Linked DNA regions of Caenorhabditis elegans. The protein of the gene in region 1 interacts with the protein of each later gene in a pairwise test. Each region holds a gene or a part of one and is shown in the gene's direction. Other genes may lie near its edges.

Evidence for each region.
Region 2: the proteins of sucl-2 (region 1) and him-10 interact in a two-hybrid assay, tested with the Caenorhabditis elegans proteins (one large-scale study listed by BioGRID).

The regions. Positions count from the first base shown.
Region 1 is NC_003281.10:899,189-903,983, reverse strand, and holds sucl-2 (Succinate--CoA ligase [ADP/GDP-forming] subunit alpha, mitochondrial), read left to right. Parts: upstream 1-2,571; 5' UTR 2,572-2,584; coding exon 2,585-2,704; intron 2,705-2,749; coding exon 2,750-3,053; intron 3,054-3,161; coding exon 3,162-3,703; 3' UTR 3,704-3,846; downstream 3,847-4,795. Other genes in the region: F23H11.4 (Rho-GAP domain-containing protein), read left to right, coding at 1-81, 153-218, 805-1,197, 1,301-1,561; F23H11.2 (TATA box-binding protein-associated factor RNA polymerase I subunit B), read right to left, coding at 3,913-4,082, 4,133-4,490, 4,658-4,717.
Region 2 is NC_003281.10:5,800,719-5,806,034, forward strand, and holds him-10 (Kinetochore protein Nuf2 homolog), read left to right. Parts: upstream 1-2,541; 5' UTR 2,542-2,546; coding exon 2,547-2,651; intron 2,652-2,702; coding exon 2,703-2,857; intron 2,858-2,903; coding exon 2,904-3,455; intron 3,456-3,511; coding exon 3,512-3,817; intron 3,818-3,874; coding exon 3,875-3,932; intron 3,933-3,979; coding exon 3,980-4,276; 3' UTR 4,277-4,394; downstream 4,395-5,316. Other genes in the region: polq-1 (DNA polymerase theta), read right to left, coding at 505-627, 1,098-1,742, 1,793-2,029, 2,082-2,205, 2,256-2,324; Homeobox protein ceh-10, read left to right, coding at 24-331; R12B2.3 (Ras-associating domain-containing protein), read left to right, coding at 4,892-4,896, 4,943-5,036, 5,175-5,316. UniProt on the Caenorhabditis elegans protein: Acts as a component of the essential kinetochore-associated NDC80 complex, which is required for chromosome segregation in mitosis and meiosis and spindle checkpoint activity.

The DNA.
Region 1 (4,795 bases):
GAAAAAGTGTTCAGCGAGAGTTATAATCATCAGATTAATGTGCTAATTCATTTGACCACTGGATATGATGTTGTTTTTCAGGTAAATAAATACTTGAATATTTAAATATTCAAGTATTTTCAAAAAAATATTAGTTATGAAACTAATTTCAGATCAGCATTGAGGAAGAGTTGAGTCGGCAGATGGTTAATGATGCCGAGAAGAAATCGTTTAATGCGGTACGGTTTGTTTTTTTTCAGGCTTTTAGCAATAGGTATAACGAGACCTGGAAAATGGCTTTTGAAAGGTGGAGTAGCGTTAATGGGGATTTTATTCCAAAATAGTCTCAAATTAAAAAACCACAAAATAACAAAAAAAAATCAAGATTTTTTTTTGAATTTTCTCCAAAATTATTTAGAACTCCTATTTTTGGACCAATCAGATTCTTATTGGTTCGAAAGTGGGCTCGGTTTTTGAATTTTTCACTCATTTTTTTACACGAAAAGATCCCATGCTACTTCTCAGAAAAACCTAAAATAACGAAAATGATTTCGATTTTTGAGACTTTTCGAAAAATCACGTCAGCGTGTCCAATTTTGGTTTGATCTTCGGGAATGGCGGGAATTTAGACGCATATTTCTCAACTGATTTTGCATGGTTAAGAACGTGCTGACGTCACTTATTTTGGAGTAAAAACCACATGTTTTGTAGATGAAACCGTAATGGGACATTCTGACACCACGTGAAAAATATAAAAAAAAGTTTTTTTATTTTCCAATTTTTTTGAAAAAATTCAAGCTTTGAAATAATTATCAAAAATTTCAGAAAAAGCCAAGTCCCGACTTCATCGTGGCGATCCACGTTTGGGAGAAAGAAAACCGCCCGTTCAATGTGAAAATGAGCTTGGCGAGTGAGGAAGTTTGTAGAGAGGCTATTGCAAAACGTGGATTCGACGGACCACCCGATTCTCCATATGCGATATTCGAGTGTCTAGCCGGTGGAAACCTAATCAGACGACTTCCGAATGCTCAGAAAATGTCAAAATGTGTACTTCAATGGATTGATTGGAATTGTAAAGATGCATATCTATTGTTTGATCATGATAAATATCAATTCAACGGGACTGATATGTCATGTTTTACTGGGAAAATCAAAATCGCTGAGCCTGGGTCACGAACATTCAAATCGTATGAAGTCAAGATTGAAAATGGGACTTCGGTATGTGCTAGTGTATCCGTCATAGTATACACTATCCCGTAAATCGACACATTGATTCTTTCCTTTTCAAATAATTTCTAGCATATACTTTACGGATTTTCAGATTGTCGCGTTCCGAAACGAGAAACTCTGGAAAGCGTGGCCTATGGATGATTCGATTTGGTATGTTGGCACCGAGCCAACAAGAAAATCGCCAAACTTGTTCAACGCAACTATGATTTGTTCGACGAAAACTGGCTATTCCAGTAGCCGATTTCCTGGCTTCTGCTTCTCGTTTAAAGAAGAAACGGACAGAAATCGCTGGTTAACAGCACTTTCACATTTTACAAAAAGTATCGATTCTGAACCGCTCGTTTATATTTGAATTTATATTTCATGATTTTTTTAATGATTGCCATCTTCTTTGCTATTACCAATGTTTCTTTCTGTGATATTAGATGTATTTGAAATTGCATTGTTGAACTAAATTGTTTTTGAATAAGAATTTGTTTCCCAAAATATTTTTTTTTAAATATAAATCAATATTCTGTATAAAGTCTACTACCTTATTTACTTCACAGTGCAATAAATAACATGTATTTATACATCTCGTAAGATTTTTAAATTACCTAGGTTTAATATCTAAATAAAATTGGAAAAGTAATTTTTGAAAAAGTCCAAAAAATCCAGGTTCATATTGCCGCCCAACGAAATTATCTATGGAGCGCGTTTGCATTTCACCGCCTTTCTTGGAAAATGTATGTGTTTGTTCTATTTTCCCCACATTTCTTCGGTTATTACTTTCTATTTTGCATTAAAATGTGATACTTTAGAAAAAATAGAACATCTGCCCAATTGTTCCTAGAAGGACGTTCCTTTTTTCCACGGACTGGTCTGCAAAAAAAAAGCCACAATCTGGTTCTCTTCTTAGAATCAATAGATTTTTTTCTGTTCACTCTCCTATCCGCCTGCTGTGTTCTTGCAAAATGATCTCTGTCAATCTCCCGTAGACTTTGCACTTGTCATTTTTCACTCCGTTTCAACAGATAAGAAGAACTATTTCTAGTGTGTGGCAGCCATAATAAATGTTTTTAAATGTGTGAAATTTTTTACGGATCTGTTTCTAAAACAACATTAAGATTATCTTATTAAATATTTATGGCCACATCATTTGCTCTTCAAAGAATTGATATCGAATTGATTTACATGTTTCCTAATAAAAAAGAGCAATCTATGTATAGGCTATAGTCAATTTCATTCACTTGAGTGCCCCGACGTAGCCTCAATTTCCCACGGGGCAAAGGTTCAAATGAAATGATCATGCCATCGTTCTCCTTCTTTAGTTCCTTCGCTTTTTTGTTTCACATACCTTAGCCAATAAATCATATTTTATAGGTACAGTGCTCAAATGGCTTCAACTTTGGCATCGGCGGCCCGTGCTGCTACCCGTGCGGCAGTCACACGTAGTGTGTATAATGACACCCGTAACAACTTGATGATCAACAAAAGCACCAAAGTTATTGTCCAGGTGAGACACGTTTGTGCCGACTTATAAAAAATTTCTAGTTTCCAGGGTTTCACCGGACGTCAGGGAACCTTCCACAGCAAGCAAATGCTCGAATACAACACGAATCTTGTTGGAGGAGTCTCGCCGAACAAAGCCGGTCAAACGCATCTCGGGCTTCCCGTGTTCGGATCCGTCGCAGAAGCGAAAGACCGCACTGGAGCCGACGCTACTGTCATCTATGTTCCTGCCGCAGGAGCAGCTCGTGCAATTCACGAGGCTATGGATGCTGAAATTGGCTTGATTGTGGCAATCACTGAAGGAATTCCGCAGCAAGATATGGTCCGCGTCAAGAATAGACTTTTAAAACAAAGTGAGTATAGTATGATAGATAACATCGATACTTGGCCTGAAAATACAGATTAACTAATTTTGAAAAAATTAGAAAAGTTCTATAAACTGCATGAACTTTCATTTGCAGACAAATCTCGTCTACTTGGGCCAAATTGCCCTGGAATCATTGCATCTGGAGATTGCAAGATTGGAATCATGCCAGGGCATATTCACAAGAAGGGTTGCATCGGAATTGTGTCCCGATCGGGAACTCTAACCTACGAAGCTGTTCATCAAACAACTACCGTCGGACTTGGACAAACGCGTTGCATTGGAATCGGAGGTGATCCGTTCAACGGAACTAACTTCATTGATTGTTTGGAAGTGTTCTTGGAGGACGAACAAACTAAAGGAATCATTCTGATCGGAGAAATCGGAGGACAAGCCGAGGAACAAGCCGCCGAGTTCTTGAAATCTCGCAACTCTGGTTCCAATGCCAAGCCAGTTGTTTCGTTCATCGCTGGAGTCACTGCTCCACCAGGTCGTAGAATGGGACACGCCGGAGCTATCATCGCTGGTGGAAAGGGTACTGCTGGCGATAAGATCGAGGCTCTTCGCAATGCGAATGTGGTGGTGACTGATAGTCCTGCAAAGCTTGGTGTTGCCATGCAGAAAGCTCTTCTCGGCTAGAACAATCCTCTCTTTTTTCAATTTTAAACTTTCATTTAACCCTTTTCTATTTTTCTTCCGGGTCAGCTTTTGTGTCTAATTCTATTTTCTATTTAAGTAGTTAATTTTTTTCTCAGAAAATTCAAGAATAAAATAAGTTCTTCAAAATTAAAAATGCAACAGAAAATATCAACAATCAACAATCAACAATAAAAATAACAGCATTGAGATCACCAAAATTTAACAGCTAAAATACCAAAAAACTGCTCAAACTCGTAACACAATTTCATGATTCTGTTTTGAGCGCGTTGGACTTCTGTCTCGGTGACGGAATCCCGAATCTCTTGATTACGATAGTCGATAAGCTCCATATTGATAGTAGTCGGCATTTCCTCGTGTTCTGAAATACATCATTTCACACTGGCACGTGCGAAAACTGGAAACACAAACCGAAAAACTGTCGAGATAATCTGAAGTATCGCAAATTTTCGATCCGATCAATAGGAACTTCCGAAATGACACCGTATTTTCGCGGAATATGATGAGTTGAATTTCGAAATTTTTGACACTTCAAAGTGATTGGAGACGACGTGAGCAAATCGTCGCGAATCGACTGAATACGCTCAGAAGACGTTAGATGCATTTCAAGCATCACAAATGCTGCATAAACAGCTTTCTTGTCTTCACCAATTATCAGTGAGAGGGCATCGAGAAGAAATTGAAATCGACGAGAGAATGATGTAGCGGCAGTTCCGAGTAGATCATCACACGATTGATTGCTCAAGTAGAATCTTATTGGTCCGGTTACCTGGAAAAGATAATACAAAATAAAATATCTGGCGCTAAAAAGCTAAAATCAGGGACGAATGGTATTTTCCAGCAAATCTGGCAAAGTTATAACTTTGCCAATTGACAAATTGCCGATTTGCAGAGTAACCGATCAGTCGCCCACCACCCCTGTGGCTGAAATCTCACTGGATTGAAATGAGTTTGCCGTGCCGTGCAGTTCTGAATCCAGTCAGGTCGTTTGAAGAGCTGAAATAAGTCCTCGCATTAAATCGAGCTACATTTTTAAGAAAAATTACTGACAAGAATAGGGAAATTTAAGATCGT
Region 2 (5,316 bases), 4.9 Mb from region 1:
CCCATATGATACATTGTTTTCAGGAATGCACAAGAAAAGTATGGAAGCTGCGGCTCACTTGGAGAGTGTTGAAAAATGTGATATGTCGGATAGTGATGATGATGACCGTCCGGTAACTCCTCCAGTGCAACGTCAAGTGAAAAACGAGTACAAACCACGAATAATTGAGCATGTTCAACAACAAGCTCCCCAACATCAGTCATCATTGAATTTCGATACTTCACTTGTTGTCAGTTCCTCACTTTCACAATTACATTTTCAGGATTCTCAAATGATTCCGAACAATAATGCTTCATTGAAGCTTTATCATGATTACAATAATCCCATGTAACTCTATTTTTCCGTGAATTTCAATGTCAATAACTATTACCTAAATAATAAATTAATCTGCTAATAACAACAATAATAATGAGCGGTCAGGAAACAACCACTTCTTTCTTTTTTCTTTTTAATCGCCGTTTGTCAAGTACTTATTTGAAGATTTTGCGGGAAAAGAAGACGTACCTCGTGTAGCATGTCCTGTTCTTCCCGCTCTTCCCACCATCTGACGGTAATTTAGAGAAGTGAGAGCCGATGGGCCACGTGGCTGAGCCTTGATGAGTACTCGTTCCGCAGGGAGATTTACGCCTGGAATTCTATTTTTTTATTTGGAAAAGAAGGTTTTAAACTTTTGAAAATGTAAAGTTTGAAAAATTATAATAGTTTTAATCTTAATATATCGACGAATTTGAACCTTTTATCTTATTTCATCAATAAGAAAAAAGAAAACAAAAATTTAATATTCTTCAGCTAAAAAGGGCCAAAATTGTATGCTATTATTCGAAAAATCGACATTTTGGAATCTCGAAAAAAAAACCGAAAAATTTTCGCTTTTCGATTTAAAAAAAAGGGAAGAGCGGGATTAGCAAACAACTGGAAATTCTTGAGTGAATAGTATTTTTTGAAAGTTTAAAGTAAATTTTTATCAACAAATCTTCACCCTAAATGAAAATTATTGTTTGATTTAATTTTTTCCCCAAAAATATTTCAACAAACATTTTGCTTTTAATTTCTTCCGATATTTCGGTTGACCACAATTAAAATTTTAAAACACTCACCTGAAGCCAAAGTACTTGTAGCCACAAGAATAACAATATTTTTCTCCCGAAATCCTAGTTCAATGCATTCTCTTTCCTCCATCGTCAATCCAGCATGATGATATGCTACTCCCCATGCAAGTGTTGACATAACATTCCGATCCTTGCAACCATTCCGTTCCAATCCATGCTTTATAAATAATAGTCCATTGGCTCGTTCTTTTAATATTTCCAACAATGAGCTGTCGGTTTTATTGATCTCATGGAATCTCGACGCAATATTCAAAGCAGTCTTCTCGGCATCAAGTTTCGAAGAAATCATTACCAAAGTCTGAGAATTGCGGCGAAAACTCTCTTCGGTAAGCAATATTAATGGATCTTCAGAGAATTCTCTTAGAACTTTGTTATCTCCAGATTTCCTCAACTCCGAACCAATTACAATATGATTTTGTAGAACAATTGGTCGAAATCTTGCTTCGAAAACTTTCGCACCGTCCAGCCATTTGCCTATTCGATAAAGTTCTGGAATAGTTGCACTCATTCCGATAATTCTAACTTTTTCCAGTGCAGATTGGTTCCAGAGCAAAACTTTCGAGAGCATGTGCTCAATGTGTGCACCACGAGACGAATCGAAAACCATGTGCATTTCATCAACGACTATCATTCCTGAAAGCTACTTTTTGTGAAAATTTTAAATTAAAATCGATTTATCTAACCAATTTCCTCAAACCAATCTTCTGATAATGCTCGATTTGTCAAACTTGCTGCTTTTTCGATGGTACAAACTGCCCCAAGCCACTCATTTGGATTTGAGGCCTGTGGACCAATGAAGCCACAGACAGAAATGTCATCTCGTCTCCAACACCGTTGAATTTGATGAAGTTTCTCTCGAGCCACGGAGATATAAGGAAGTACGAAGAGTACCTTTCTACCAGTTGAAGCGACTTTCCATGCTGAAAATTACAGTTTTTAAACATTTATTCTTTAAACCAGATAAAATAATACATAAAAGTTCAGCTACAATGCTTTTCCCAGCACTTGTTGGCGCACTGAATATCAAGTGTTGATCTTCAAATTGTCTTGCCTCATTCAACACATCAATCTGCCAATCGAACAGCGCTTTGATGTTCTGAAATTAAAAAAATTTTGTCCCTATTTCATCACAGCGATTTATGTTACCTGCTCTGCGTAATAATCGATGATTTTTGAAGAAACCCATTCTGGAAATCTACAGGAAGCCTCGTCCATCTTGTTTCATACTAAAAACTCTGATTTCAGACTGAAAAACATGTTTTTTTCAGCGAAGAAAACTAAAATTTGTTTGTGGCCGCGGTGGCCTAGTTTTCACGGCCGAGAAATGTCACATGTTTTGGCGCGCTCTTCGGCGAATTCAAATAAACTTTTTTGTTTTTAACAATTTCTAACTTTATTTTTGTGTTTTTAGAACTGAAATTCCATTTTTCAGGAGAAATGTCAAACGTTGTACTAATTGTGTATGATCCGCGGATGATTTCAAAGTATCTTGGTCAAAAATTGCATATGGGCCTTGTCGCCGATGACATTATCAAGCCAACCGTAAGTTTGAACAGAATATTGAATTCATCAGCACAAATAACCCGATTTCAGGCAGAAATAGCGCAACAAATATTTGCTAATTTTGTGAGGCTTGTGTTAAATGTGTCGGAAAGCTCGCTGACGACCCTTCCGCTGTCCGCCAACTGTGATTATGATCCAGAATTGCATAAAAAGAGCATTCCTATCATTATTCTCTTCCAATGCATGTAAGATTTTAATTTTAATGTTAGATTTGCTGAAATATTTTTTCAGGAAAGCATTTATCAAAGATAATTCTGGCAACAAGCTGGACTTGACGATGTGCGATCTCGTGACACCTGCAAAACACGAACATCGATTCAGAAAGCTGACAAGTTTTCTTGTAGATTTTCTGAAACTTCACGAATTGGCCACTCCAGCGTTCAATGAAATTAGCGAAGAGTTCAGTGATCGAAAGTTCGAAATGGAAAAGATTCGGGAAGAGTTGTTAGAAGCCGAGAAGAAGAAAAATGATCTTCTCGCGAAACAAAGCATAAGAAAACGTCATGAGCATGAATTAATCAACGAACAGAGCAATGCGAAGGCAGAACTTAAAAATGTTGTGAACGAATATACCGAAACTCGTCAAATTAATGAAGAACTCGACAAGCAGAAAGAAGAAGCTATTCTGCACATTCAAGCCCTCGAAAAGGAAATGCTAACTGGTAAAAAGACAATTGAGCATTTGAATGAAGAAGTTCTGACATCGCCGGAACAGCTGAAACAAGAAATGGAGGAAAGGAAACGTCACATTGAAGAGCTCCGCGATTGTCTTGAATCATCAAAGTACTGATATATCTTCAGTCTCTCCAAAAATTCAAAATAAAAGTAATTATTTTCAGAAAAGGCCTTCAAGCAAAACTCGAGGCTCGTGAAATTTGCATCAACTCGGAGAAGAACGTGCCAGTGATTATTGAGAAGATCCATCAGTGGACTGAAGTTCGAGAAGTTATCATTGACCTGATCGATGTTGAAAGTGAGAATCTTCGAAAGCTCAAGGAAATGGAGGAGCAATTGGATTTTATGATGAAGGAGATGGAAACGGCACAAAAGCGACTCGTCGAGCAGTCGGAGACTCATGAACAATTGCGTATAGAACACACGCAGAAAAGTGAAGAGCGTCAGCGTAGAATTGAGGAGATTACCGAGTGAGGAATTTATTTGATACTTTGAAAACATTTTTTTAAACGATGTAAATCTTTCAGGCAAATCGCAAATTTGAAAACTAGTCAGCCAGATGTGTCACAGGAAATTGCTAAAAAGGTTTTTGTCAGATCAATCTTCATAAAACTCACCAACATTTTTTTCAGAAGCAAGAACTCCTCGCTCTAAAAAACGCACACAGTGAGACGATTTCCCAAATCACCAACTCTTGCCAAGATGCTGTTGCAAAATTCGCAAAACTTAATGCAATGTTCAAAGAAACCCAGAAAGTAGCTTTTGAGAAGAACACTGCAGCTGCACGTGAAATGGAACGTCTAAAAAGCTCTCTTACCGGACGCCTTCTGAGTGATTACACATTCGGATCATCGACAATCGACGCCGGAGAGAACACGGAAAATTGTGATCCACAACCTAACGATTCGAGTTTTTCCGTTTTCAAATAGAATGACTCAACTCGAAAATTTCACTTCATTTGATCTCTATTCAATGTAAATGTTATGCTTTCTTCCATACCAATAACAAAATTTTAACTGAGTCTAAATAAATCATGTGGTCTTTATTTTCAAATGTTTTCTTTTCATTCCCAGGCTCTAGAAATTTCACACCAATTTACTTTTCAGGTAAGAATTCACTCAAGTGGTATTTACGGGGAGATTATGTGCCTCTGTTTTTAATTAAAAATAAAATTAGAAATTTTGAATTTTTTGCCTTGTATTTTTTTGTTTGCGTCTTTAAGACTACAGTAAGACAAAAAGTGGGCGTGGTTTCTTATTTTGGAGAAAGCTCAAACAGGGAATAAGTGAGAGTCGGAAGTTTTGAAACGTTTTTTGAAAAAAAAATTATCTTGAAATGAAAACTTTTCCAGAAATTTTAAACTTCTCTTCGCTCATTAGCTCTACAAGTTGGAATTGTCCTTCTGAATTGAATATTATCCTACCAAAATTCTAAATAAATTTAAATAAATCGTGCGGGCCTCGAGTTATTGCATTCAACATTGACATTTTTCGTTCATTTCTCAATTTTTGTATTGTATTTCTGAAAAATTCACTCTACAAATTATGCAGTAAGCTTTTTCAAATAATGTTCTTTTCAGATTTTATAATTTTCAGACCATTAGACCTTTCGGGTAAGAGATTAGTTCGACCAGATGATTCAAATGGTACAAGATCTTCCACTGATGATGTACATTCGATGTGCTCTCAGGTGAGCATTCATAGTACATGATGATGTTTTAGTTTTATATATGTAAAAGAAACGCTCTTTGAAGTTAATTGCTTTCCATGTGTATAAACTAATCATAAACTAAACTGCAAGAAATTAAAATAAAATTATATTTAAAAGCTCTCAAATCTGGGACCCCGATCTCTTCCAAATGCTCGTTCCCTTGGTAGCTCAACATCTTCAATTCTTCTGCTTCATAAAACTTACAAGGAAACATCGGCCCCGCCTCCAAATCAAGTCGCATTCAAATCAGTCATCTTGG